Linked DNA regions of Oreochromis niloticus. The protein of the gene in region 1 purifies or fractionates together with the protein of each later gene. This does not show direct contact. Links are inferred from orthologs where the notes say so. Each region holds a gene or a part of one and is shown on either strand. Other genes may lie near its edges.

Region 1 (7,286 bases):
CAAAGGAGCAGAGAACCAAAAGAGACGAGTGTTAAAGCCAAACCAAACCAAACCAAAGAGCAAATCACACCAAACAAGGGCAACACCTCGAAAAGTTAGATCACCCAATCGAAAACGCAAGCGTCGCAGAATGGCGGTCACATCGCACAAACTAGCACGCAAAACTCGCAAAGCAGCAGCCAAATCACACAAACAAAGAAGGAAGACAACCAAAGGAAGAAAATCACCAAAACCTGCTGGCAAGAAACGCAGACCTGCAACGAACAGGGGCGCACGAGTTCGAAAGGCACCGAGGAAGGCTCAAAAGACTCGGAGACGCCGACCAAACCGAGTCCAAAATCGGCATAAAAAGCAAGCAAGACGGAGGCTTCCAAAATCAAAGTTGAGATCGAGGAAAAGCACTTACTACTACCACTAGGCTGAGTCTTCATGGTAAACAGTAATAAACAGAACCCGTTTTTAGCATCCTGAAATACACTTAGTTCTATGTTGTCTTTGTGTTCCTATATCATTTTTTCTTCACTTCACTGTACAGACCATAGATCGCATAAAAGATCGACACAGTTTTTTAGACACTAGTTCTGAAAACTGAAGCTTCGGTGGAAACTTGCCTTTCTTTTAAATGCTCCTTGGGGGGCGATACCTGTGGTTGCAAAAAGATTGTGTATTGAGGTCAGACAGACATGTGATCATTAACCATGTGATTGCCATTTTAAATGGGTGATAATGTAGGATCAAGTGAATAAGGCTTCAGTCACACGAGCCTAGAGACAGCCTGTATCTACCTGGCAACCACCAGTTGTGAGGGAAAAATGAGTATTCCCTAACCTATTATGAGTGGTTGTTGGAGGTTGATGGGCAGTCTCTGGGGAATTGATTGCTGAAGTCCCAGACACACAAGCCTAAAGGCTGTCAGTGATCTCCCTGGCAATCACCTGTTGTTAGGGAAAAAGGTATATTTCCAGCATAAACCTCCTTGTGAATGCTTTGATCAGCAGCACATTTTTGCAGTTTGAATGGAAGTGATGAACTTATTAACTTCAAAGTAAAACTTTCACCCTTTGAAATACGTTGGCTGCAGCACTGAGGCTGAACTTTATTTTGAAGGCAAACATTCGCCATTTCGTGTTGCATTTTTTCAAGTTTTACTACCGCTAGACTAGTAGTTGGCAAGTGCTGGCAGATAAAAACTGCAGGCAACCGTGGCAATCTGCTAGTAACCAAACCAAAGTGCTTTTAGTGCAGCACCTTCTCTGCAACTGATTTTATCCTGGGAGAGCCAGCAACCTCCAGAAACCACTGTCAGCCAGTTGGAGAATACACATTTCCCTAGCAACCAAGTGATTATATGACACCCAATATGGACTCTCAAAGCATTGTGCACATGATGTCACTTGAAAAACCTCACTAGAAGACAATTGCAAAACAGCTCTTGGACTTGACCTCTGAATACTATCTTGATGAGTTTATGGGCTGAGTCATGAGACTTGGGTCATGTTGAATAAAATGTTATGTCCGTTTGTCAAACTGTGATCATCATATCGTGGTTTCACAGTCAATTCTGTCTCTCTCTCTCTCATTACATCATCTTGGTGCTTCAAAGCAGGACTTTATGAGTGGATGACATCACAGTAGCGATGTCCATCTTTTAGTTTATGGTTGTCTATGTGTGAACTCTTTAACTTTGTACAAATCAAGAGCACTCATTATTTAGTCACACATTTTAATGTAACTACAACAATCCATAATCAAAACTGTGCAATTGATACCGGTATAAAAATAACTGCCATGCTTCTGCATGGAAAAGGAAACAATGTATCTTCCACACATCATGCCATCGATTACGTATAACAGGATTGAACATTGGGCATCATTGGACATTCAGTCCAGTGTTTCTAGTCCACTGAAATAAGGTCCATGTAGTCAACTGTCTCTTTCCAGTCAGCATCAGCACTTTATCCATCACAGAACGCCCCACACCTCCTCAAAGGCAGAGGATATCTTGGCACAGGTCAGTGCTGCAGATAGGGGGTAGTTACTGATGGACACTGTCTTCTCTGTGTAGTCCACGTTAACCTAATAAGGACAGAGACATCAGTAACACACAAGAACTATTTGACATAACTGTAACAGACTAAAAGAGTCTGTAAAAGAGAATGCCTCAATATATTTCTCACCGCTCCATGTGCGAATGCTCCAATCACCACTGCGGCTGGTCCCTCTGGTACCAAAGTCCGTGGGCACACGGCCTCTCCCGAAGAGAAGGAGGTGCTGATACGAGGGCAGCCAGGAGGTAGGTGATTAGACACTGGATTTTTAATCATCCTCAGGAGCTTCTGAGGACCATCAGCAGCCCTGACACTGAGTTTGTGCAGCAGCTGAACTAAGAAAGTAAAGAGAAGAAAGAAGAATTAGGAGAACAGCAATGGAGTGAAGGCTCACTTAAAGCCAGAACACATGGGAATAAGACTCTTAAGTACAATGCCTACAGCATGATCAGTATGTGTATTATCCATGCAGAAAAAAAGAACAGTTATAGTTTACCCATAAGGCCACAGAAGCGTGTGAATGTTCTTGGGATGCGGGTCTGCGGGTTGATCTCGATTAAAGCGTTTTTCTCTGTGTGGATGTAAACCTGCAACAGCCCCGCCCTGTTCAACGGACTGTCCATCAGCATGAGCAAACACTGGAAATACACAGTTCAAAGTTAAAACCATTTATACAGCCCTTCATCACAAACATGCCACAAAGAGCTTTATATAAATAAACACAGACATAAAGGATAAATAATTCATTCATTTTTATTTCAATTTAATTTTACAATTTAGTTTCAGATTGCCTGCAAAGTATTTTGTTTCATTTTTCAGTTTCCTTATGAAGTGTTTGTCAGGCCAAGATATAAGAAGTTCAGAGTAGGTATTACAATACAAACAAAAGGCAACTGACTCACAATTATGTACATATCCCGGTCTCAATAAAATGCGCACAAAAGCCGCTCATGTCTGTTGTCCTACTTTTATTTTTGTTAGTTTTGTAATTACACACATTTTGGTTGTTTTGTTCCTAAAGTACTTCTTACACTACTTAATATTATTCTTACACTACTTAGTACTTTTTATTCATACTATACTGTTATATATGTGCAATATTCAGATTAGTAAAATATTACTGATGCGGTGGTGTCAAAAGTCAGCTAATGAAACTCTCTGCATCACATATTCAACATCCTTTGTCTAATGTATCCACTATCTGTTCTCCGGTACAAATTTGTAAACCTTCCCTTTTATTCTCATTGCTATCCTTCTGTCACAAATAACCCATCACGCTCATCTCCACCCACCCCACTGTGTCTGCACACTCTTCCTCACCTCTGTGGTGTGCTGCTACCTATTGCTTTGGTTGACCCAAGGTTTTTCAACTCATCCACCTTCACTCCCTCTATTCCTTGCATCTTCTTTATTATCAGTATCATGATACTTTTGTTAATCCCAGCAACCTATTGTGATATTTCTGAATTGTGAGTTGATTCTCCTGACACCTGAAATGGACTTCTAATCATAAAATCAATAATATAATTAACTTAAATGCAATGAAACTCCACTCTGATTAACTGTGACAGACTGACAAACACAAGTGAAGAATAAGGCTGTACATTATTATTGAGGAATGAGTGTTTACCTGATGTGTGATATCTGGTCTTATTTTTCCGGGATCTCTTCCACTTTTGATGATCATATTTTTGTGTTGGTCGCAATTTAACAGCTCAAATGTTTTCCCGACCTGGAATATGATAAACAAGCCAAAAGCATGTATTAACTCGACTTAAATTAAATTATTATTAAGCATCGTCGTTGATGTCACTTCCACTAAAAACAGGTAGGGGTTGCATCAAAACAACGCGCAAAGACAGCTCCTTAGCGCCTTACCTTCACCGTCTCTAACGACGCACCCTCCAGAATAACCACCAGCCTCCTCTCCGCCATGCGGTCGTGCAGACTGCGGAGATGCTTGGCTGGTTTAGGCTCATATTCGTCCAAATGTTCAAGACCACGCTTCTTCCCATTAGCCGCCGCCATGATGCCTCCCTGTGGACTGTCGCAGGAAGTTTACGTCACTGCAAAGGTGCGCGTTCACAAGTGAGTGTATTGCACATAAAAAAATGTCATTTGTGGGGGGTTTTATGAAGCTAGCTAGATTTTGAATGTGTAATTATGTGGTAAAATCAGACAGTTTTATGTTAATAAAATAAAACGTGTTTCCTCAGCGCCCTCGTTCTGCTCGCGCCACCCTTTCGTCACTATTGTGCGCCGGATGTCACGCTACAACGTGTTGAAGGAAATTTCACGTGTAGAAATCTTCGTCGTGCATCGCTCCACAATCACATTATAATTAGTGTCTGCGGACCTTAAAGTATCCAGTTTATTGGTGAGTATTTGAAGAATCGATGCTGCGATTCGCGTTGCAGCTAAAGAGCGGTTCAGTGGCGATAAGCTTTGAGTTGTAAGGGTGTACTTTTTAAAACTGTGCGGTCAGGTAATGGCTGTGAAACTGGTCACAAGTTTTTAACGAGGCTGTTTGGTAACAGTCTGATCATACATTAATATTTAAACCGTTTAATCCCCAGGGGATGAACTGGGAGAATTAGTAATAAACTATTAATCATTTGTTATAAGCAAACAAATATTTATTACTGTTTCAACAGTAAAGAGACCCTCTCTGTATCACTACATAATTTGAACACTGCTTATAATCATAAAGAGCATAGGTTGTGTTGGAGCTGAATTTATTGTAATGATGTTGGGCGGTTTTCTTTCCCGCAGATCTCCATCCAAAAAGTTTTACTTTTTTTCTTCAGTGAAATGTCTTATTCCTGTCAAAAGCAGAGCAGCTGAGTGGCTTAAGTTTAGGTGTTCAGCTCAACTCAGTTTGTAATTAGGAGTTTTACTGAAAGGAGTGATAAGATCTAAGTGCTGTGTTCTGCTTGTAGGAAAATTGAGTGGTTAAAACTGAATTGAAGTTATATAAATAGGATTTTATCAGGCATAAATGATAATTGGGGACCCCTCAAAAAAGATGTTTTAGTCAAGGAAAAGTGAAGTAATTGGGGCATCGTTTATTCAAACATAAGAGTCAAATAAGGTAACACCAATTGATTGTGTTTACTGTATGTAGAAAACCCATAATACTGTTAATATGTAATACCGCAGCCACGCTCCTCTCTTTCACATATACTGTATTTTTAGTTTTGTCTTAGGGTTTTAAAACACTCTTGCTGTGTTTTGTTTTTCAGGCTGTCTGTGTAGAAGGAAATCATGGGTCGGAAGTTGGATCCCTCCAAGAAGTTGAAGAAAGGTCCGGGTAAAAAAGCCCGGAAGCAGCAGGGAGCAGAGACGGAGTTGGCCAAGTTTATAACTGACGGTAACTATCCCTTTCCAAGTCAAAAGTTTCTGTTTTGGAGGTTTAGTAAAACACTCTGTAAACATTGTGTTATTTTTTGTTTTTAATCTTTGCAGAGGACACTGGATCAAAACGTCTCTCAAGTAGAGCCAGAAAAAGGTAAGAGGTGGACTGAGGATGTAACATGACATAAAACAAATGTGTTTACAAGCTCCTAATTCATGTTAAAATGTTTCAGAGCTGCAAAGAGAATCCAGAGTTTGAAAAAGCCCAAAGATGTTGCTGAGGAAAAGCCTAAGAAAGGTAAACAATTAACTTTTGCTCAGTCTGGTCAACACATTATTTAAATATTTGCCTAGATGCAAGCATGAGATTGTTGTTTTGATGGACCATCCTTCTCCAGTATCATTACAGCTATGTAAGCAGTTGTTTATTATTGATTATCGAGGGCAGTTATGGGAATATCGGCAAGGCATATTGATCCATGGTGAACAGCCAGACTAAATGTGATTCAAAAGATTTCTATGGAAAAACAAGGATTGAAACATTTTACTTCATCCAGATTGGGGTTTCTGCGGCTCGTTGGCAGCATCTGCTGTTCGTCCTCTTGGGTCTCACAACCTGAAGGAGGGGTTCTAGTGGTTCTGTGCTATGTAGGTCAGGAGGTGGCCTTGTTGGTCTAATCCCCAGTTACTGAAACTGGTTCATTAAGTATCTCAGAATTTTGTTCATGAGTGAGGGGAGACAGGAGCAGGAGACGGGTAGAAGGATTGGTGCGTTAGCAGTTATGCAGCTGCTGTACTGGTTTACTGTGGTGTGAGCTTTGGGTAGTGACTGAAAGAATAAGATTGCTGATATAACCAGCAGAAATGAACTCCTTTTGAAGGCTGTCTGGACTCATCCTTAAAGTTCGGGTGAGGAGGTTGTGCATTCAGGAGTGGCTTTGAGTGGAGCCATTATTCCTGCACATGGAAAAAATCTAGTTGAAGTGGTTAGGGCATCTCACCAGGAAGACTCTTTGGCACCTCCTAAGTGAGTTGTTTCAAGCCCATTCCACTGGGAAGAGGTCCTGGGGCTGTCCACAGGCTTTTGAGCTTGCATCTCTCGGCTGGCTTGCTAACAGCTTGGTCCACTCGTCAGTCCACTCCCAATCCTGAATAGGATAACTGAAAGGGAATGGAGGGAGGGAGGGATGGATATTGATTATTAATGCATCTTGTATGTGCCATGATTTCAGCTCATGACATTTAAGACCCTTAAATGTCAAGGAAACAAATGAATAAATACACATATATTTACTGTTTTTTCTTTTTTTCTTTCTCCCTAAAGGGTTCACAGATGAGAACAGCAAATGGTTGAAACCGTCAAAGAGGAAGCGCAAGATTGATGAACAAGAAAGTGAGGATGACAGTGATGAACACTGGGAAGAAGATGATGATGAGGAGGAAGAGGAAGAAAAGGTAATAGAAAAGAAGGGAGGAAAAGACCAGCAGAAGAAGGGTGTAAAAGGAGTGAAAAAAGAGGAGGCCGATGATGACGACGACGATGATGATGATGATGTTGAAGGCGATGATGATGATGATGAAGGCGATGATGATGATGAAGACGACGATGATGACGATGACATGGTTGACGACTATGGTGTTCAGGATGACAGCGATGAAGCAGCAGAAGATGACAGTGATGGAGAGGATGTATGTGCTCTTTCTTACCTTTTTTACCCTTTTAAATTTTTTTTTCTTTAGTGTTATTCAGAAGCTGAAACGAAATATTCTTCCAGCCTGGAAATGTGAAGATTGAAGCCTTATTTTATTAGAAAATTTTCACTTATGAGCTACAAAATCGGGAGAGTATTCTGCTTTCAGTGGCATTAGGCCTTATTACAGTTA
Region 2 (7,069 bases), on another chromosome or scaffold:
CAAAGCGCTGTACACAAATATTAAAATAAACAATAAAATCAATAGACATTATACACAATGTAAAAGATCAAATATAAATAATGTAAAAAAATATATATATAAAATACATAGATCAACAAAAGGCTTGTTTGAACAGAAAAGTTTTTAACTGTTTTTTAAAAGAATCCACAGAGTCAACCAAGCCGAGTTGACACCGATCTAACAGTCTAACGGTCCTGGACTGCACACAGTATCTGAGGCCTGAGGTTAAAGAGAATCTGCTTTGACTTTCTGGACTGTTGCTCAGACAGAATAAAGAGTATGAAGACACTGATCATAGTTTTCACTGTTTATTGTGCAGGGTTTCTACTGCAAGTCCCAGCAGCCCGCAGGCTTAAATCGCAGCACATCACAGGATTTCATATTTTGAAAGCCTTTTTTCTAAAGCTACAAACAACCATGAGTTTAGTTTGTGGCATTTATATTTGAAGTGGGGAGATTCCTGCAGGGAATGACTCGTAAGAAAGCATGAGGGTAAAAGTGTGCATGGCTTCATTAAATAATCTAAAGTTTCTGTAAATAACCAGATGATTTTCAGGGGGACAGGTGGGAACGTTTTTCCAGATTCAGTTGAATTTATATGGAATCAGCAATATTCCAAATTGCTGTTATCAGCCTGTAATTCTCTGAAAATCCTTTTTTGTAAAAACTGAAGCTTCTGAACAGATCACAGCTGCACGCTGTTTGGAATTTAGTTGCAAGAAATCCATTAATTAAATCAGACGCCTTTAAATATGCTGCCATGTCACGGCACACTTCCAATTTTTAAAACCTAAACCCGTTTAAAGTTTCCGCTCCAGCGTGTAAACACTTACGAATCCGGGGAATTCGTACTCGATGCCGTATGCGGCGATCCTCTTTCGGAGCCTTGACTCTTTGCGCAGCAGCTTGCCGGTCATTTTTGCAATTTCCTCCTCCGTGTGCTTCTTGTTGTAACGCGTTACTGCGGGATACGTCGGCTTTTTGAACCCTCGCTCCGAGCCAACAAACAGCTTCTCGTGCACCTTCTCGGGAGGAAACACCTGACCTGGGAGAAAACATTTTTTTTTATAAATTTAAATAAACATCAGCTAGGAACTACGACCTTTACAGGAAAACTTCCTGTGAATCAGGATCTAAAAGGTGAACTCTGACTTACATTTGATAAGTCTCTCTCCCATCAGGTAATTATTCATCGTCTCTGCAACAATCTTCGCCACTTCATCGCAGTCAAACTCGATGAAAGCGTAACCTTTGCTGTTACCAGTCTGCAAACAAACAGAGAGAGGAATAAAGTGACAGTCACAGATTCTGCCCTCCAGATGTTTTCATTCCCTCCAGTGTTTGTTGGCACATGGGTTTTATCACTCTGATAACAGGCAGAGCAGGTGATAAGCTTAATGTACCAGAGTACTCTAGGCTCAGTTATCTGACCTCAGACGACTTTTACATCTGAGATCATTTTCAGTCTCAGCCAAAACTCCAGATTTTAAGAAGTGGAGCTTCAAACAGGCTCCTGCCTGGACTTCTTAAACCAAAATAAAGGAATCTAAATGTTTGCAGAGAGTGTGCTGGTTTCAAGAATGGCGATCAAGAAGTTCCTCAACTGCTCCTGCTGAACACGGAGCTGTTGGGAGTCAGTTTTATTACTTTGTTACTGCTTTCAGGAGACAAATCCATGCAACTTTTTACCAAGTTATAGTTCAAAGGTCATTTTTTGCTTTGATGCAACATGTGGGCTCCTTTTCTGGTGAGTTATACCCAAGATTTTTATCTGGAAGTTTCTGTTCTGGCTATGAGGCCTCAAACCACACAGTCTAAAATCAGCCTCTCAGTGACTCTAAAGTTTTATCCAAAAAAAAAAAAAAAAAAAAAAAAAAAAAAAAGACTCCAAGTGAAGTTTGAAGGAAGTGATACATCACTGCAGGAGCTGTGAAAGTTTTACAGATGCAGTTGAAGATTCTGATTGCGCCTCACACATTCACACGTTTGTTTCCACATGTTCAGGGTTACCTTCTTACTGCGGGACAGCCGCAGCCGCAGGATCTTCCCAAACTGACCGAAGTAAGATTTGAGCTGAGGCTCCACCAGGTTTCGGGGCAAGTGGCTGACGTAAATCACTCCTGGGGTCAGGCGGTTCGCCTGTGATGGGGAAAAGACAGATCACGACATTACACAGAGAACTGGGCCTTCACCTGTGATCAGATTGTAATACGATATAATGCACAGACTAAATTACGAAAAACAAAATGCGATACTATAAAGATTTATTTTTCCCAGACCGGCTTTTAAAAAGTCTACAAAATAAAAGTACAAAATAAATACAATTTATATATATTAAACATACAGATGTTCACCTCATTTACAGATTTTCTTGTTTAAATATCAGTTTACATTCAGTTTGGTCACATTTCTTTGGGGCCAGTTCTCTCCATTTCTTTACTATAATAAAATTAATCTTTCTCTCAGTCCGTAAACTTAATAATTTGAGACAGGATGTCATTTTTTCTTCTTTTTTTTTTAAAAAAACGGGCCTGCCTTACATCTGTAAACCTGAGTAAATATGCTGCACGTGGGCCGACTGACAGAGTAACGACCACGAGCCTATAAAGGTTTGACGGCACCTGAACCTGAGTTAAACACAGACTACAGAGAGAGACATCAGCAGTCTGAGAGTAAAGTCAGCGACAGTAAACAGGAGGAAAATAACTGCAGACTATCGGGTCTCCTTCAGGGCCACATGTTTCACCCACCTTGCCTGATTTCTTCTTCTTCACCTCCTGAACCTTCTTCCTGAACTCGGACTCCTGTGCAGGATTCAGCGCCAGCAGCTCTTTGGCCGCAGCAGGAGCCGCTTCGGCGCCACTTTCACTCATTTTTCGCTGCTGGAAGCTACAAACGCCACATAAACTGAGACAAACACTCACTTAGCCGTCCAAAAACCACGATGCTGCTGCTGATAATGACCCACATCCGGCTGCACATGCGCTGAACACCAACGAGTGACGGAGAAACGCGTCACGTCTGCAGCTCCGCGCTCTGTGCAGCGACACCTACAGGCGCGGAGGTGAGTTTGTTAGTCGGTTTCGTCTACATTAACTATTTTCACGCTCAAAAAAGAAAGAGAAAAAAAACTCAGTAAAAATGAAGCAATGTTTTAATTAAAGGAAAGTGAAATTAAAAAAAACAAAGGTTTATTTATTATTATTGTTCCTCTTTAAGAATATTTAACCCTCTACTGCATGACTTTTTAATTTTTTGGGAAAAAAATATTTCTCCCTATTTTGGGGGAGCTTTAGGGTCCCTAATAATATATCAATCATAAAATTTGACACCCTGCCCCCCCCCCAAACAGATATTGGTTTGTTGCTTCAAGTTCAAGGCAACACTGTGTGACAAGGGTAGTCAAACACCAAGTTATTCTATAATAAGTTTTATTAGTACAACAAGGATGAACAAATAAATAAACAACAAAAAAACAATGTAAACATTTCACAGAACAATAAAACACCAAAATACATCCAACATTTGACCCTAACCCCATGCACACACACACACACATGTTGTATTTCCATCACTTTTGGGGACATTACATTAACTTACATTCATTTCCTGGAGACTTATCCTGACCCTACCCATCACAAGTCCCTGCCTGAACCTTACCCTAACCCTGACTCAAGCCTTCACCCTAAAATTGAATGATTTACCTTGCTATTTGTCCCCATAAAGTAGGCAAGACCTCACAATGTGAGTGTGTAAACAAATTTGTGTCCACACAACAATAAGTAATACACGACCACACACACACACACACTAACACACACACAGACACAGTTACTTTACCAACTGACCCCTGAGCTCCTAAGTGTCTCTCAAACCTGATTCAGGGATCCACTCCTCTACTTCACTGTCACTCCCTGAAAGCTCACTGTCCTCACTTTCTGAGGACAGAAAGTGCTCATTCCCTTGGTTTCCTTCCATAAATGGTTTTTACATCCATGTCTTGTAATTATAAGAAGATTGTAAAGTAAAAAACATTGACTATGATCATATAAATGCACACAAACACATCTCTACACACATATTCAAATGCATTATATTGCCTGAAAAAAAATAGGCTAACTGCACAGTGTTGCCTTGAGGCAACGAAGGGAAAGAGGGAAAATTTTCCTGGTATATTTGTATACCAATCAACTACATTTAATTTGACCATATTCATTTAAATTCAACATTTTACTTTGTATTTATTTAACAAAAAAAATGGAAAACTTTGCAAGTAATTGGATTAAAGTCAGAATTTTCAGCTAAATCTTTTTTTTTTTAGTGTATTCTTCTTCTTCTTCTTCTTCTTCTTCTTCTTCTTACAGGGGCGATCGTGGCTCAAGAGTTGGCAGTTCGTCTTGTAATCGGAAGGTTGCCAGTTCGAGCCCCGGCTCCGACAGTCTCGGTCGTTGTGTCCTTGTGCAAGACACTTCACCCGTTGCCTACTGGTGGTGGTGCCCGGTGGCGCCAGTGTCTGGCAGCCTCGCCTCTGTCAGTGCGCCCCAGGGCAGCTGTGGCTACAATGTAGCTTGCCATCACCTGTGTGTGAATGACTGAATGTAGTGTAAAGCGCTTACAAATACATGTTGATTTCCCCCAAATATAGCTGATACTACTACTAATGATGATGATAATTATCATCAAAATTTTCTCATAATAATAATAATAATTATTATTATTATCATTATTATTATTATTATCATTATTATTATTATAGCTGATACTACTACTACTACTAATGATGATGATAATTATTAGTAGTAGTAGTATAAGCTATATTTGGGGGGAAATCAACATCACATTTTCTTATATGATTATCACTTCTTATGTCTCACCTGGCTGTATGCATCTTTACCTCTAAAGTTTGAGAACCACTACATTTCTATTCATAAGAAACATCTCATAACAATTTTAATTATGATAAAAATTCCTGCTTCAAACACCAATCCTAAGAATGGAAATAATAAAAATGTGTAAAACTGAAAAAAGTAATTGTGTAAGCATCATATTTTATTTTATAAGGTTTCATACATTTTGGTGCAAAGTCTTAAATTACAAAAAAGATAAATATTTCAAGGAAAGAAAAACACATTTGTGCAAAAACTGAAAATTTGAATAAATTTGAAAACAAATGCAATAAATAAATAAATACATAAAAATGAAATATATTGAAATGAAAATGAAAGAAAACTTAAAACTGTGGAGAATAAAAGCAAAAATACAAAACTCTGAACTAAAAATATATAAAAGTCAAATTTTAAACAACAAACAAAAATAAACACATATAAAAGTTTTCACATTTAGAAAAAAAAATGGCCATTTTAGGATTAAAGTTGAAATTTCGACATTAAATTTAATTAGTATTTTGAGAAAAAAAAAGTCTAAATGTGGAGATTGTGGTTGTTGTTTCAAACCAAAGGACTGCCATGGCTCCTATACCTTCTATAAAATTCTTAACATGATCTTAATACTGTTTCATAGCATGTGACTACTACTGTATGTACACAGCATCACAGCATAGGGGAACCCTGTAAAGGCTGAACATGTGCCCTAACAAATGAGCCGCAAAAAGCTGATATCTGATCACATGTAAGCTTTATATTACTTCAGTCAGATTTAAAAGTATTGTCTCCAGAGAAACCGTAACTCACTCTGAGGTCGAGTTCAACTTTGACCCTTTGAGTTAAAAAGCAACAACGTGCACTAAACAGCAGGTTCGCTACAGCACTTAAATCACAGCCAAAAACACTCTCATTGGTTATCTCATTCTCAGTTTGGCTCTATAAAGACCATTCTCTCTTTCTTGTACACCATGTTCACCTCTGTGCCCTTAATTTGTCACCCACAATTTGAGAACCACTACTGTAATCACTTAAAAAACACCATCATAACCTTTGTAATTGTTATAAAAATCTAAATTTCAGGTGAATACAGTTGGCTGTTGCTCGGAGAAATGTTGGAGTCAAAGGCAGGGAAGGAGGAGGAGCTTAGGAGGAGGTGGAGAGGGGGTGGAGTGGAGAGGAGATAGACATCAGAGCCAGTTCAGCAGTGCACACAGCAGCATCAGTGGGTTTAGATTCATGACATGGAAACAAAAGTCATCTACTTCACGGTGAACGGGAGACCGGAGCAGGCGGAGTTCCCGGTCGACTGTCCGACTCAGGACGTCAAAGGTAGGAGCCAAAGCTGAAGTTTATGTTTCATATGATCAAATGCATTCTAACGTGTTGTTTTGGACAAATGAATTAAAGTGGAATATTCTTATGCTTAGAGTTCAGGAAATACTCTTCTGTGACTAAAATCAATAAAGCAAATTTGATAAATGGAGCAACATAAGACAAAGCAGTCTTTGCTGCAAATACAGCTGCCACTGACAGCTCCTCACCTCTCACAGCAGCTTCAGCCTTTGGCATCATGGTCTCCACGCACATTACATACTGCAGATCTTACTCATTAGAACAATGCTGTAACTGCAAGCAGTGTTCTTACTTAATTTAGATGACTGCATTTAACTTCTATTGTACTAGTCGTTGAAGTTTACTTTCCTATATTGAATTATCTGAACATTGTACCTGCATAGTTGTAAACACTCGTTCCACTTAATTTGTGCTTGATTTTTCTAAACAGTTCTGCAGTGGGAAGCTCAGATTCGAGGCACTGTCAAAAATGTTTACCTTTACATCGGTTGCGGGTTGTTTCTCTTGGATCAGTGACCATGACATCAAAATCTGTACAAAGAATACATAAAAATGTAGTAAAAATGCATTCAAATCCCCTAAAAACAAAAGATCAAATAAAACACAAAGTCTTTCTTTAGGACTTCTTTCATAGAAATGAGTTTTTGCCAAGTTACAATTAAAAGTATCAAAGGCTTTGAATGTGCTGAAGATGGCCCAGAGGAAAAGGATGTTGATTATCAACTGGAAAACTTGGATCACACCTTGGATACTGAGAACTTTACAAATATGAAGTGAAACGCACAGAAATTGTATCAATAACCTAAAGAAAA
Region 3 (6,409 bases), on another chromosome or scaffold:
CCAAAGGAACGTTGATGCACCCTGACAGAAAAGAGTGAGCTCATTAGTTTGACATGATTAGCCACAATCACGTGAAAATCTTCATTTGAGTAACACTTTTTAATCATTCAGCAGCAAACCTTTATGATTTATAGGAAATTATTTCTTGACCTCCTGACTACAGACAAATGTGGGTCCCTGAGCCCAATTTAAAGAATGTTTTTTTTTTTAAATTGTAAGTTAATTTAAAATATCAAATAATGCTTATAATCCCAATTTGTTTTGCACAAACACTCTGGGTTTATTAGTACTATTAAAGTCTTTCCCCAAAGTTACATAAACTACATTAAACTTTGTCGTTAAAACTATGTAACTCATATAAACTTAATGAAATTAAAAATTAGAAGTCAAATATTTTTGAATGTATATATAGAGTTTAAAAAGTAATATGTAAAGGGTAACAAAATTAGCCTTAATCACACAGAACTAAAAAATAACTTCTGCAATAATTAAAGACAGAAAAACAAGTCACTCGTGTTCTACTTGGCTGTAATATTAAAGTATATTTGTGAATTTTTTTCATGAATATTACACATATATCGAAAAGAAACATCATGGTTGCTGGGGTCAAAATTTACAGTAAACATAGTTTACATAGATGGAGGGAGCATCCCACCCGTGGGCCACAGGTAAACCAGGTGATCAGTTCATATTGCATCATGAATGTCCAACACTTTGATGCCAAGGCAGGCACACACACACCCACACACAGGAAGACACAAGAGTCCTCAGCGCTTCCCAGGTTTGCCTCTTCTCTTCCCTCCTCCCCCTCCTGCTGCTTTTCCTTTCCCACCTTTTCCTCTGGCCTTTCCACCCATGCTGCTGCCTTTACGTCCCTTCTTCCCTGCTGCCTTCTTGTGTTTGGCAGCAGCCTCCTCTCTGTCCTCCTCCCTCATCTGTTTATTCACAGCTTTGGTGATGTCCAACTTGGGCTTCTTAGTGTCCATGACTTTCAGGAGCTCCAGCTGCTTCTGCTTTTCATTAGAAAAGTTGCCAATGAGGGGCTCGAATTTCCTCTTCTTGCCCTTCTTTGCTGGGTTCTCCTTGGGCAGGCGGTCCTGAAACCTCCCCAAGGATGCTGTGGAGGTTTTGGCCACACTTTCGGCTCTGGCCAGCTCATCTTTGGACTGGCTGGCTTTGGGGGTCAGGGTTACAGCAGGGATCTTGACTTTCTGCGATCTGGCGATGTTTTTCAGCCTGTTGAGCTCGTTTTTGGCCACCCTCTCCTTCTTGGCTTTGACGCGTTTGGCGAACTGGTCCTCATTCGGGTCTGCGCTCTCGGGGACCTCGATCAGCCACTCTTTGGTGTCATCGCCGGCCCTCTTGTAGCCCCAGCGCCTCTTCCACTCCTTTGCGGTTTCATCCCACACCAGGTTGGTCTTCTTCTTCTTCTTTATGCCCTTCAGCTTGGCGAACTGCTCCCATTTTGTTGGAGGTCTGGGTTTCGGTGGTAGCTTCTCTCTGGGCAGCCGGGTCGTCGGCTCCGGCAGTTTGGCCACTATCGCCTCCTCGACCCTCTCCGTGGGCTGTTTCCATATTTCGTTGATGAGAAGCTGCGTGTTGTCGCGAGCGAGAGCACGCAGAAAGTCCTCTTTGCTCTTCTCCCGGAGGTCGCGAGGCTCGATGCGGTTTTTGTCACACGCCAGCAGGTTCCCGATGTCAAACTCCAGGTCCAGCTCTTTCTGGACTGATATGCTTTTCAGGGTTTCCGCCTCTTGCGCCTCAGCTTTAGCCAACAACTCCTCTACACTGCACGCTGCCATGTTGCTCAGTGCTGCCTGAAAACCCCACGTGTGAGGCAGGAAAAACACACGAAACTGCTTCCGGGTCAAAGTCGTCGAGCTGCAGTTTGACACGTGACCACAGGAGAGCGCTGTCGTTTCATTTCTTTGCGTAACAGCGACTGTATCTGAAAGTCATGTCCTCAAGAGACAGGAAGAAAAATCCACAAAGACCTGATACTGGACCCGAGAGATGGATCTGGCCCTTCAGGTGATCCATTTAGTGTTCACTGAAGCATCACCAGAAATGGTCTCAGTGGGAGGGTGGCTGTCAAGAAGCTGTTCTTAAGGAAGGGAAGCGGGGAGAAAAGGCTGAAGTATGCCAAATTACACAAGAACTAGACTCAAAATCAGTGGCAGCAGATCTGATGGAGTGATGAATTCAAATATGACATTTTTGGTTCAGATTGTCATCAATATGCAGGCAGGACAGTGAGTGTCTACAGTTATTTGTAAAACGCAGTGGAGGCTCCGTCATGGTTTGGCGCTGCATTTCATCCAGTGGTCTTGGAGATCTTGTCAAAAGTGATGAATTGTGACCTCAGTGGCATCAGATACAGATCCACCATGCAACACCATCTAGAAATTGTCCAATTGGCAACATCTTCATTTTTCAGCATGACAATGAAACCAAACATACTGTCATTTCAGTAAAAGCATACCTGGATAGAAAAAATGGATTGAAAATGGAGCACAAACTCAATCTTTGCTCTTATATGCTGTATATACATGTATTTATATATATTTGCACATGCTTCAATAAATCGCTCTGCCAATTTCCTGTTTTTCAAGCAAAATATAAAGAAATGAGAAGTGGCACATGGACTTTTTCTCATCACTGTATACAAAAATGATCTGCCTTTAATAATAAATACATTTCCAAAATTAAAAAATCTAAAGGTGTTTTTAAACAAAACAAAAAACCCACCTGAGGTTCTATAATGTTCTTGTTTTATATAAAAAATTTTTTTTATTTTCTATAGAAATTACATTGAATTGACAAGAAATGGTGTAAATGAAAATTAATGGAGTCATTCATAGTATATCATTCATGATTTTAATGGATTATCTATACATAGGCATAAAAGTGTCCATTATCAGCAGTCATTCCTGTGTTTCAGTTAGACACTGTGTTACCCAATGAAAATGTATTGAGGGCTAATTTATGTTAGCATACATGAAAATTGTCCTGCTGTTTTTGAGCACTGCATTTGTTAAATTACATGTGTGGAGGGTGTCTAACCTTAGAAAAAGAGAAGGGAGACCCTGGTGTCTCAGCTAAGCAGCAGAACATCAGATTACATCAGAACCTCGACTCTGAGTCACCTTGCAGCTCCACAACTAGCATCTTCATTAAAAGTTGTCACAGTACTGGGTCTGTGACCCTGTGTTTTGTGTTTGTTTAATTTATATTCCTTGATTATTGTTATTCATGGTTTTGGTTCTCTTTATTGTTTTCTGCTTGTTTTATATTCTTAGTTCCTAGGCTTTAGGTTTTGTTAATGTGCCTCCCCTGTGTTCTGTATTATGTCTAGTTATCCTGGTTCCTATATTTGTGTATTTCCTGCTTTACTTTGACATCCCCACACCTGTGTTAGAGTATTCTGCTTTGCTTCCTCCCTGTCTCATGTGCCAGATTAAGTTCAGCTGTGTCTCCCTTTTGTCTCGTATTCCTTTGTTACCCTCTGTCTTTGTGTGTGTTTTCTCTTGTTCCTCGCTCAGGTGAGCCCGTCCAGCCACCTTCCTTGTCTGTTGTACACTCAGGAGAATCAGGTTAGCCACCACTCAACCGCCTGCAGCTGCCACGCCACGCCACGCCACGCCACGCAACGCCACCAACTGCTCAACCGCTCCCACTCAACCGCCTGCAGCTTCCACGCCACGCCACGCCACGCCATGCCACGCCACCAACTGCTCAACCGCTCAACCGCCTGCGACTGCCACGCCACGCCACGCCACCAACCGCTCAACCACTCAACCGCATGCGGCTGCCACGCCACGCTGCCAACCGCTCAACCGCCTGCGGCTGCCACGTCACACTACACTGCCAACAGACTGTGGCTGCCACGCCATGCCGTCAACCGCTTAACCACTTGCGGCTCCCGCGAAGCCAACCACTCAACTACCTGCGGATGCCACACCACATCACGCCACCAACTGACTGCAGCTGCCACGCCATGCCACCAATCGCTCAACCGGCTGCAGCTGCTGCGCCGCCAACTGCTCAAGCGCCTATAGCTGCCACACTGCTCCACCAAACGCTCAACCGCCTACAGCTACCACGCCATACCGCCAGCCGCTCAACTGCCTTGCGGCTGCCGCAACACACCACACCGCCAACCAGTCAACCGCCTGTGCCGCTTTGCTTCCTCTTTGTCTTATGTGTCAGATTAGGTTCAGCTGTGTCTCCCTTCTGTCACCTTCGTTACCCTCTGTCTTTATTGTGTGTATTTTCCTTTGTTCTTGTCGGATCGTCTGCTCATCATCCACTGCTTCACTTCTCGTGTTTCCAAGTCCCGGGGTTTCTCCAGGTTTCTATATTGTGTTTTCTGTGTATCTCATGTGCTTATGTTTTTCTCAGTTCCCCTTCGCTAGTTGTTTTGTAGTATTTTCCTGCAGCCAAGAATAAAGGCTCGCTGTCTGTTAAACATCCACCTATCTCGCTGTTTGTCTGCTTTTGGTCCACTCTCCTCTCCACGCAATCTGCCCTCGCAAATCGTGACTAAAGGTACCCACAAAACACCACACTCAATATCAGCCGTGAAGAGGCGACCTCATAATGCTGGCCTTCAAGACAGAGACGCAAAGCCAATAAACGCTAAATATTAAAATTTTTAAAAATACAGACCTTGGATAGAGGAAACTTTAACAGTGCTAACACAAATGGAAAAGTTGTTATTATTCTTTTAACATCAGGGAACACAATATGGCTGAGGAACACTTGAGTGATGGCTCCTGAAAATGGATACTTGATGAAAAATCAATAAGGATGAATAATTCAATGAATCATTAATAGTCACTTGCATAATTTATGATCAATTTATTGTTATTTTAAATAAATGCAAATGTGTTGTTTGTTCAAAAACACAGATCTGTGTACGTAATGCCAAACCTTTGAAGGCAATGTACTTACAAAACAAGCTAAAATAAAATAGAAATACATGAGAAATATTTAAAATTTAAGCATTTGTCAATTTGGTTAAATTGATCAACAGAACGTGCATGATGAGCCGCTGATCTCAAAATTATATCAAAGTCGTATCTTCCATTTTCTATTCTGATTTTTTTAGACTGTGGGATGAACCTCAATATTGTCATAATAAAACAAAAATACTGTTAGAATGGCCATCCATTCATCCATTAATCTGTTCATCCACTCCCACTTATCCGAGTCTGGATCAGGGTTGCGGAGAAGCAGAGAAGACCTCCCTCTCCCCAACCACCTCCTTCTAGTTCATTCAGGGGGACACCAAGGCAGCCGAGAGATGCAAACAAGGTTTCTTCTCAATAGGGCATCCCCAAAACACCTCACCCAAGAGGTGTCCAGGAGACATCCCAGTCCAAAACAACTCAGCTGGCTCCTTTGGATGCGAAGGATTAATGGCTGTTTCTGCTGAATGACTGAGCTCTGCATCCCATCTTTAGGGGAGAGTCCAGACACCCTCTGAAGGAAGCTTTTTTCTGCTGATTGTGTCTTGTGGGCATAAGTGAGGGTATGAATATAGATCAACCACTAAACTGACAGTTTTACTTTCATGTTCACCGGTTCAGCATCCACATCGTTGCAGCTCTCCCCTCACTCATGAACAAGATCTCATGATACTAAACCGCTCCACTTGTTCCTTACCCAGAGTGGGTACTCCACTCTTTTTCCGCCCTCAGACTTGGAGGTACTAATTTTCATCCCAACAGCTTCGCACTCGGCTGCAAACCGCCCCAGTATGAGCTGGACGTCATGGCTCAATCAAGCCAGCTGCAGCACATCAGAGACAAAAAGCGAAGGCGAGATCCTGAGACCAACTGACGCCCTCCACCCCCTTTGCGTCCCCAAAATGTAAGAATACAGAATAAAACCATGTTGCCCACAGGTGGCATTTGATTTTAGCACCTGCATCTGATCTTTAATCTCCATTAACCCTTCATAGACTATGTCTGTGTAGAAACCTGGATGAGAGGGGAAACGTCTTCAAGAAACCTTAAGAAGTCCAGGCACTGTATTTCCAAGCTCCTTAAATTGAAAACACAACTTCTCAATAAACTCTGTTACCATAAAATCAGGAAGAAGATAAATAAGGAAAAACTAAACAAAAAAGAATAACTGATAAATAAATATTTTTTTCCTGGTCTACAATTAGAGGTTATATACTCATTACAACCCCCTCCTCAATGGCCACCTGGAACTTTTTAAACCTAAAATGTTTCACTCATTAATTTAAACGGCTTTGCCTCACATCACCTCAGGTACAAATTAAAATAATCATTTTTGGCTGACCTGACCAAACTCGCCATGATAAGATGTATTTTAATTCCAAGGGCAGTAATTCACCAGTATAGCTAAAATCTCATATACCTGCTTGTTGGGCGACTTC
Region 4 (7,217 bases), on another chromosome or scaffold:
ACGCAGAAGTTAAAAGATGGGGTCAAAAAATTTGGAGAGGGCAACTGGAGTAAGATAAAGGCATATTACAACTTCAAAGATCGAACAAATGTCAACCTGAAGGACAGGTGGAGAACAATGAAAAAATCAAATATCGTCTGACTCACCAAAGCCTATGTCATTTTATCCCCATCTCCATTTATTTGTTTTGGTTTCCTTAACAAGTTACTGGTCATTTTAAAACCCACTTTACAATTTAGTAAATATTAAATGTTTGTGGTTCAAAGATTGTTTCTTTTGTTGATAACAGAAATTGCAGTAATAGTGACTATTGTAGCATCTCTGCAGCCCTAAATAACAAACACACTCGTTGAATTGATACAGAGATGGGAATAGCTTTAAAAGTATGTTCTCTCAGTCTTATGATCTCAGAAAAGCAGAACAGACCTTTAATTAAAGATATGAAAGCTGCCAAATATCCATATAGCTAAGATCGACAGGTACCTTTTTCCTCCCACACAAAATATTTGTAAAAATTTTAATTTAAATGATACAGAGATGTGGATTTATTTCAAGATTCAAGTTACAAAAAACATACACACAAAAACAAAACCCTTCTCATTTAATACAACAGGGAGGGGACAAACCAGGAAATTCTGCAAATGGCAGAAGTGAGTCAATAGACATGTTTTTTGTTTTAGTTCTGAACTGTAGGGAAGTGTTCCAGGTATAACAGCTGCTCTTGAAGTAGGAACGTTGATCAGATCATGTCACTATAAAATATTTAGCAGCTAAAAGCTGAACATTTGACTTTGAGTGAGTGTTACTGTTAAAAATAAACAGTTTGACAGTCCACTTGTTTCTGCATCTTTATGTTAATGTTTCCTCATTTCTTATGAACTCGCCCACATCAGCCTGGTGGAACACAACAATAGACATGGGGTCCACTCGCCGACACTCCTGCGTAGACTTGGCCGCCACACCAAAACCCTGCAGATTAAGACAAACAGCCAGCCTATAAGTGCCTTTTGTCATATAACCTTGAGTTAATCAGGTATTAACCTCTTTTTAGTACATGAGTGGATCTATCCAATACCCTATTGTGAATACACGGCACTGAGGAAAACAAAACATCTGCATAATATGTGCTTTGTTTTCCAGCATGAGTGTTACCAGCAGGAATATGTATCTTTGTTGTACTGTGAATACTGTCCATAACAGTGTGACAAGAAGAGCAACCTTTAAAGGACTTACCAGAGGCACATCTGCCATGGAGTAAACCACAACTCCCTGATACTGCATAGTGTTCTCAGTAATTCTGCCAAGACCAGATTTTAGCACGTGGTTCCCATACAGGAAAGACTGCTCTGTTCCAGGTTTCACCCACACCTTAAACTGAATACATGATAGTTTCAAGTTATTCATACATGAATGAATGAGTCCAATATGACAGCACAGATGAAAAGCTTGAACAATTGAGAGAAAGCATGGAATTTCTAAGCACACATACAGCTACTTCTCACTTGTTCTCATAATATTTATCAATGACTTAATACAGGTTCTCGCAATTTTAGGGTCTTCAAAAAGCAAAAAAAAAAAATACATTCAGTTAAAGTATCCATGTAGCTAAGATGTGAAATGGGCAGATGTATCCACAGATACGCATCTTCTCACATATGAACTTCCATTTGTTGAAAAAAGATTATTTTTATAGTGCATGTTAAGCCTGATGAAATGAGATGGAAAAAATTAAATAACAGCCTGTTTATAAACCAACTTTTGTACAGCACCATTTTTCATGCAATAAACCTGTAATAGCACACAAATACACATGAGCCGGCAAATTATGCCCAGTGTTTCCCAGCTATGAACAATGATTTTATTTCTGATTGAATATTCTGATTCTCCACTTGTATAGCAAACAGCTGTTTATACAGGTGAAAAACAATTTCTACCCGTCATGTGTCACTGATCCTAAAAGCTGGTTATACTCACTCCACAACTTTACAATTTTCCTGTAATCTTTTCAAAAACCCTTCTGGAAGATGATCTAGTGGCATAATTCAGAATGAGCCTCTACTATAGAGGACTTTAATAATACCCGTATTGTTTCGTTTCCTCCATCTTATTTAAGCTCCGCTTGGTATATTGGTGGGAGGGAATGACTTGGCTGTGTGTTGCTTATAGTCACCTTTGCATATGGAGCAAGGAAATCCAGGGCTGTGATGTGCAGGCGGAACTTCTTGGTCTTTGTAAACTTCCCAAAACACGTACCCACTGACATGAGTTTGTCCCGGGAAAAGTTGGTGGCCAGCTTTAGAATTTTCTCACTGTGGACAGAAAACCAAACGTCTTAATCCTTTCATGTACTGACAGGTACCCAAAATGCGTGTTAATTAACCAAAATTACCTCATGTAGTAGACTCTGTCATGGTGCAGCCTGAAACAGTAAACGCCGTCTGGTCGGTCCACTAGAAGTTTTATGTTTTCACCAATGCTGTTACAAGAGAAAACACATGGATCACACACACACTCATAGCGTGAGCTAACGGGCTTACTGAACGTGTTGGTATAATTTGAACCTTTACAGGCTAACACGGCGCAGAAACTGTTCACTCACTATTTAGATAACTTCTCAAACATCGTTTTGGTCTCTTCTTCTGTTAGCGGCCTCATATTTACTACTATAAATCCTTAATATTAGCAACGGACAAACGTAACTTCTGTGAGAAAAAAACGTGGGTCTACGCGGAAGCAGTAATGCTTTAAAACGGAAGTTGTATGACGTAACAGTGATCACAGTTCCTGGTTTTTTGCCTCCTTTAGGGTTCAGTCGGACGGACGTGTTTTTTTTCCTCCGGTAAACCGGTCGCCATCTGGTAAGTTTTCTCATACAAAATAATTACAATTCACAAAGAAAGCTTGAAAGAATAGTTGGTTCTAATTGCGAAAACCAGCAGTTGTTTAAGCTTTTGTTTTAATTTAACAACTGAAGTCACAGCTTCCGAAAATGGGCTGAGTTAGCTCCGAGAGCTAGCTGTCAGTGGAAAAAAACACAGACCCGCGGCTATCATCGAGCCCGTGAACGTTAGCTGGAGAGCTAGCTGTATTAGCATGTGATAGAGCTAACACTCCGATTTACTAAAGCAGTTCATTTCTAATCAACGCCGACGCCCCGGCACAGCAGCAGTACATGTGTTGAACTGCACTCAGCTGCGAGCTGTGTTCAGACTGGTCATGTAAAGCGTCTTTGCCGCAGCGGGGCGAAGTTACATAACGCTCATTTGTTTGTAAATACCGATTAGGTTCCAGTAATCCAAGATCACTGGCAGAGTTGGTGATCCTTAAAGGATGTCAGATGTGGTTAAAATCATCATTAAACACGTCTGCGCTCATTTTACGTCTTGATAATAGGATTCAGTTGAGTGTCAGCGGTGTATAGCGTCAGCTGCAGAGTCAGTGTTACAGACTGGGAAATGCACTCTGTCAGCGAGCACTTCGCTTTTGGCAGATCATTTGATCCTCCTGTCACCTCTTGTTTGGCAGCCAGAAGGCCTTCTACTGTGTTTTTCTGAGGCATCGACCAAAAAAAAAAAGGCACTCACGATTGACATTTCGAAATATGTGGTAACACTGTTTGATTATATCCACCAGTTTTTTGGGGTTTATTTTGTTTGTTTTTTAATCGTTTTGTTCGACTTGTTTACTCTTTTCAGTGTATTTTTTTTTAATTGTTTTTATGTTTGGTATTAATTATTTTGAGTATTAGTTTAGTCTTTTGTGGCTGATATTTGGACAGGAGTTGCAATACAAACACAACACTCTGTAAAGGGAGTTGGCTCACATTGAGAGAGTCATCCAAAACACAACGCCTCCCCACCCTAGTTGTGTTGACACACTTGACTAAATTCGGCAAAGACTGATGATGACGATTTTAAGATTATTTTAGGTAATTTAAACTTAAATATACGCCCAATTTTAATTGACTATAATAACTTTGTGGATCATATATGTTTAACTGCATTTTCTTTAATCCTTGTAAACAAATTAGTAGATTAGTGATAATCCCACAAGTTTTTTACAGCATTTATCCCTTTTAAAATTACTTGTATTCTTTTCCTAGGATTTGTCAGTATAGCAACATTCACCATACTGATATCTTGAAATACAAAATGTCATCCAACACCAAATTGATGGCCACAGTGTGCTTCCAAAATCAAATTTATTTCCTTCATTATAGAATTGAGTATATTTTGAACAAGTACAGTACAATGAAGGCAGTTTTATTTATTTTTTTTATTTTTTTTCCCAAATGGTGCTCCACATTTTCTGTGCTGCTGTCCTATTAGTGAAATAAGCCTCTAGACGGCTTCAAGTCCACAGAGATGTTAATTAAAATGGAAAACTTATCAAGGTGTCGGAGCTAATAACAGCCTTGTGAAAACTGAAACACTGGCTGTTTGTTAGATTCAGGTAGTAAGTTATTTACCACCGGAGATTAACCACAAAAGAGAAAGTGACAGTGAGCCCCCTGGGCAGCTTGTTGAAATAGAGGCCACACTCTGGCCCCATTTCTTTTTCTTAAGACTTGTTACAAGAGAAGTTAACATTTGAATATGGTGAACGTATTTGGTTAGCTTTCTGTTTTTAACCTTCTGACGTAAATGTTTCACTATGCCTCATATGTAGTATGTGTGTCTGACAGTCGTTTACTCGTATGATTAAAAATAACCTTGGCAAGCTTCCAAGAAAGGAATTTTTAAATATTGTTTTCAATCAAAAGTCGCTTCTCGTAAAAGTAAAGCCAGGGAACTATTAGCTATGGGGAACATGAGCAGCCGAAACCTGCTGATACACATCAAAATATATCAGCAATTGATTGAGATTTGTTTTTTATTTTCCTTTAATTTGTTAACGTGTCAGCAGGTGTGTGGTGCTCTGAAGTGGGACAAGACATTTCGTGCCAACGGTTTACCCCCAAGAAGCCACTGGCCTGTGTCTGTCATCAGTTTCCGGCGTGTGTTTGTGGCTCTGGTAACACGGAACAGGAAGACGGGCGTAGAGACGTCTGAACAGAGAGAGGAAACTGCTGCGGCTTCTTCGTTGCCCTCAGAATGACTGAGTTCTGGGTTTGTTTCAGTTGCTGCATTGCAGAGCAGCCACAGCCTGTGAGTATGAAATTTGCAAGAAGAAGTGATTTATTTAATTTAAGCTGCCTTGTTTTTTAAAAGTTTTTAATTTGAATATAGATTAACAAAGTAGCATTCATCCAGTTAAACACATGCTGGCAAAAAACACTTTAAATATATTTGCCAAAGGTCATCTGTTGGCAGACAGACAGTCTGACAGTCTGGTTATAATAGGGAACTGTTTGACGTCACAATAATAACCCCTGTCCTGCCGCGGCAATACTAAGTTGTTGAGTCCTTTGGAATGATCATGAGTAATGTATCGATTACTCGTCATATGTGGTTTACTGCTCAGCTAATTCAGAGTTAATGACAAAAACATGCGGACTATAGACCTTTGTACATTTCCTGTCTGAATTAAACTCCCCAAGTAATTGTTCTCATGTAAGGTTTTAAAATTTAAATTAACTTCTGAGTTTAGAATCTACTTTAGAAACAAAAACTTCAATCAGAAGTTTCTTGTAGCTGCTCATAAGACGGGCACAGTGATTGGGAGGGAATTTGGATCATTCCTCACTGGAAAAACTATTTGTTATTATATCTGCTATATCTGGGATATCTTGACTTAACATTGAAGCTATCTAGGTCACGCCACAGTATCTAAATTGGTTTTAGACCCAGACTACAAAACCTAGTTTGTTTGTTTTTTCATTTAAAAAAAACAAACCAAGAAAAAACCCTCTTGTTTATTTACTTGTGTGCTGTCACACGATCTGTCATGACTTTTTGGTCAAGGACTGCTGCCCAGATATCATTCTGTAACGTTTTGTAATGCAGTTATGAATTTATTGCTGCCTTTGTGAATGTGAATTGTCGTGCACCTGAGCTATAAAAGCAGCTCAAGATAAGCGGGATTTATAGCCTCGCAAATATGTCCCTCTGCATACAATTTTCAGTCAGAGAGGGGAAACCAGTTTTCACCCACGCGAGAAGCACTGCTGTGCAGTCCTCCAAGATCCTGACTGCGTCTCGCTGGAATCATATGACGTATGCGACTGCCAAATGTTGATTGGTTGATAAGTGGGCCAGAAAAGAGCAGGGAGCAGTAGCAGAGTTCAATGGGAATAGGAGAACCGCGCAAAAACTTCAAAGATCAAAAAATAATGTATGAAAAGCACAGAAAGTGACTGCAGTGACAGTTTTCATTGTTTTTAATACTCGGTTTCACTTCAGCTTTTGTGTTTTATAACCTCGTTCTCCTTCGTGTTTGGCTCATAGACCAAAAACAACATGAGCCACAGTTGTCCAGACTGTTTGTAGCACAGACAGTCAGGCCCTGGAGCGAAGTGGACAGCTAACACGCTCACTCTGCTCGACCATAAATCCCACTGTACTTTCTGCACCATGTTTTTATGGATGGTGTTTTATGTCGGCTTGCCAGTACTCTTTTGTTTCCCTCTAAACATAGCACTCCACATTTTGGCAGGTTTGTTTTCTTTTTTGTTTGTCCACATTTGTCTTGTTTGCCCACAGAATAGTTTGAGAATCTTTACAGTGAAGTATTCACATAGGTTTAGTTTTTCCAGCCTGGACTGAGTGTGATTAATCAGTGTCCATTATAGAAATTCAAAACGTTTCCCTGTAAGTTTCCCCACGTAAGTTTAGTAACACTGGATTGACAAAACAGATTCAGTAAAACTTTATTACTTTGGTAGTGAGCTATTTGCTAACAGATAAGATAACTCAAGTTATTGGTTTTTATCAGTGCAGATCCACTATATTTCAAACAAAGGTTTAGAAAGTAAACTGATAAGTGTTTAGGTTCTGGCTCACACATGCTCTTCTCAGTTCTCAGTGATAGTAGTATTTGCTTTAATGTGTGAAGTATGGCAAGTCTACTTGTGATATTAATATTTAAATGAACATTTATGATACTTTTCAGAAACGGCGGCGAAGGATCGATCGCTCCATGATTGGGGAGCCGACAAACTTTGTTCATACCACACATGTAGGCTCAGGGGACATGGGCCTGGGTTTGGCATCAGTAAGTTGTTTTTGTTTGTTTGTTTTCACTGAATTTTCAAACGTGTTTTCAGCCAGCTAACATTT

The links.
Region 2: the proteins of nop2 (region 1) and nifk fractionate together in Homo sapiens (co-fractionation; 3 studies listed by BioGRID, with this or other methods). This does not show direct contact. The link is inferred for Oreochromis niloticus from reciprocal best matches to the Homo sapiens genes NOP2 and NIFK.
Region 3: the proteins of nop2 (region 1) and rrs1 fractionate together in Homo sapiens (co-fractionation; 3 studies listed by BioGRID and IntAct, with this or other methods). This does not show direct contact. The link is inferred for Oreochromis niloticus from reciprocal best matches to the Homo sapiens genes NOP2 and RRS1.
Region 4: the proteins of nop2 (region 1) and nip7 purify together in Homo sapiens (affinity purification with mass spectrometry; 3 studies listed by BioGRID and IntAct, with this or other methods). This does not show direct contact. The link is inferred for Oreochromis niloticus from reciprocal best matches to the Homo sapiens genes NOP2 and NIP7.

Annotation. Positions count from the first base shown.
Region 1 is NC_031976.2:23,055,825-23,063,110, forward strand, and holds the start of nop2 (28S rRNA (cytosine(4447)-C(5))-methyltransferase), read left to right. Parts: upstream 1-4,271; 5' UTR 4,272-4,425; intron 4,426-5,290; 5' UTR 5,291-5,312; coding exon 5,313-5,418; intron 5,419-5,513; coding exon 5,514-5,556; intron 5,557-5,635; coding exon 5,636-5,700; intron 5,701-6,726; coding exon 6,727-7,091; intron 7,092-7,286. Other genes in the region: histone H1, read left to right, coding at 1-418; emg1 (ribosomal RNA small subunit methyltransferase NEP1), read right to left, coding at 1,963-2,076, 2,178-2,383, 2,545-2,686, 3,679-3,780, 3,927-4,076. UniProt on the Homo sapiens protein: S-adenosyl-L-methionine-dependent methyltransferase that specifically methylates the C(5) position of cytosine 4447 in 28S rRNA. Required for efficient rRNA processing and 60S ribosomal subunit biogenesis.
Region 2 is NC_031987.2:8,321,699-8,328,767, reverse strand, and holds the start of nifk (MKI67 FHA domain-interacting nucleolar phosphoprotein), read right to left. Parts: upstream 3,011-7,069; 5' UTR 2,895-3,010; coding exon 2,772-2,894; intron 2,161-2,771; coding exon 2,032-2,160; intron 1,492-2,031; exon of another isoform or gene 1,361-1,491; intron 1,287-1,360; coding exon 1,178-1,286; intron 1,067-1,177; coding exon 855-1,066; intron 1-854. Other genes in the region: high affinity cGMP-specific 3',5'-cyclic phosphodiesterase 9A, read left to right, coding at 6,146-6,233.
Region 3 is NC_031974.2:19,369,867-19,376,275, reverse strand, and holds rrs1 (ribosome biogenesis regulatory protein homolog), read right to left. Parts: upstream 1,837-6,409; 5' UTR 1,803-1,836; coding exon 768-1,802; 3' UTR 512-767; downstream 1-511. UniProt on the Homo sapiens protein: Involved in ribosomal large subunit assembly. May regulate the localization of the 5S RNP/5S ribonucleoprotein particle to the nucleolus.
Region 4 is NC_031965.2:26,934,794-26,942,010, reverse strand, and holds nip7 (60S ribosome subunit biogenesis protein NIP7 homolog), read right to left. Parts: upstream 2,742-7,217; 5' UTR 2,656-2,741; coding exon 2,600-2,655; intron 2,477-2,599; coding exon 2,390-2,476; intron 2,310-2,389; coding exon 2,171-2,309; intron 1,375-2,170; coding exon 1,234-1,374; exon of another isoform or gene 1,141-1,233; intron 1,034-1,140; exon of another isoform or gene 970-1,033; coding exon 850-969; 3' UTR 522-849; downstream 1-521. Other genes in the region: telomeric repeat-binding factor 2, read left to right, coding at 1-141; cdc42se2 (CDC42 small effector protein 2), read left to right, coding at 5,094-5,147, 7,051-7,152.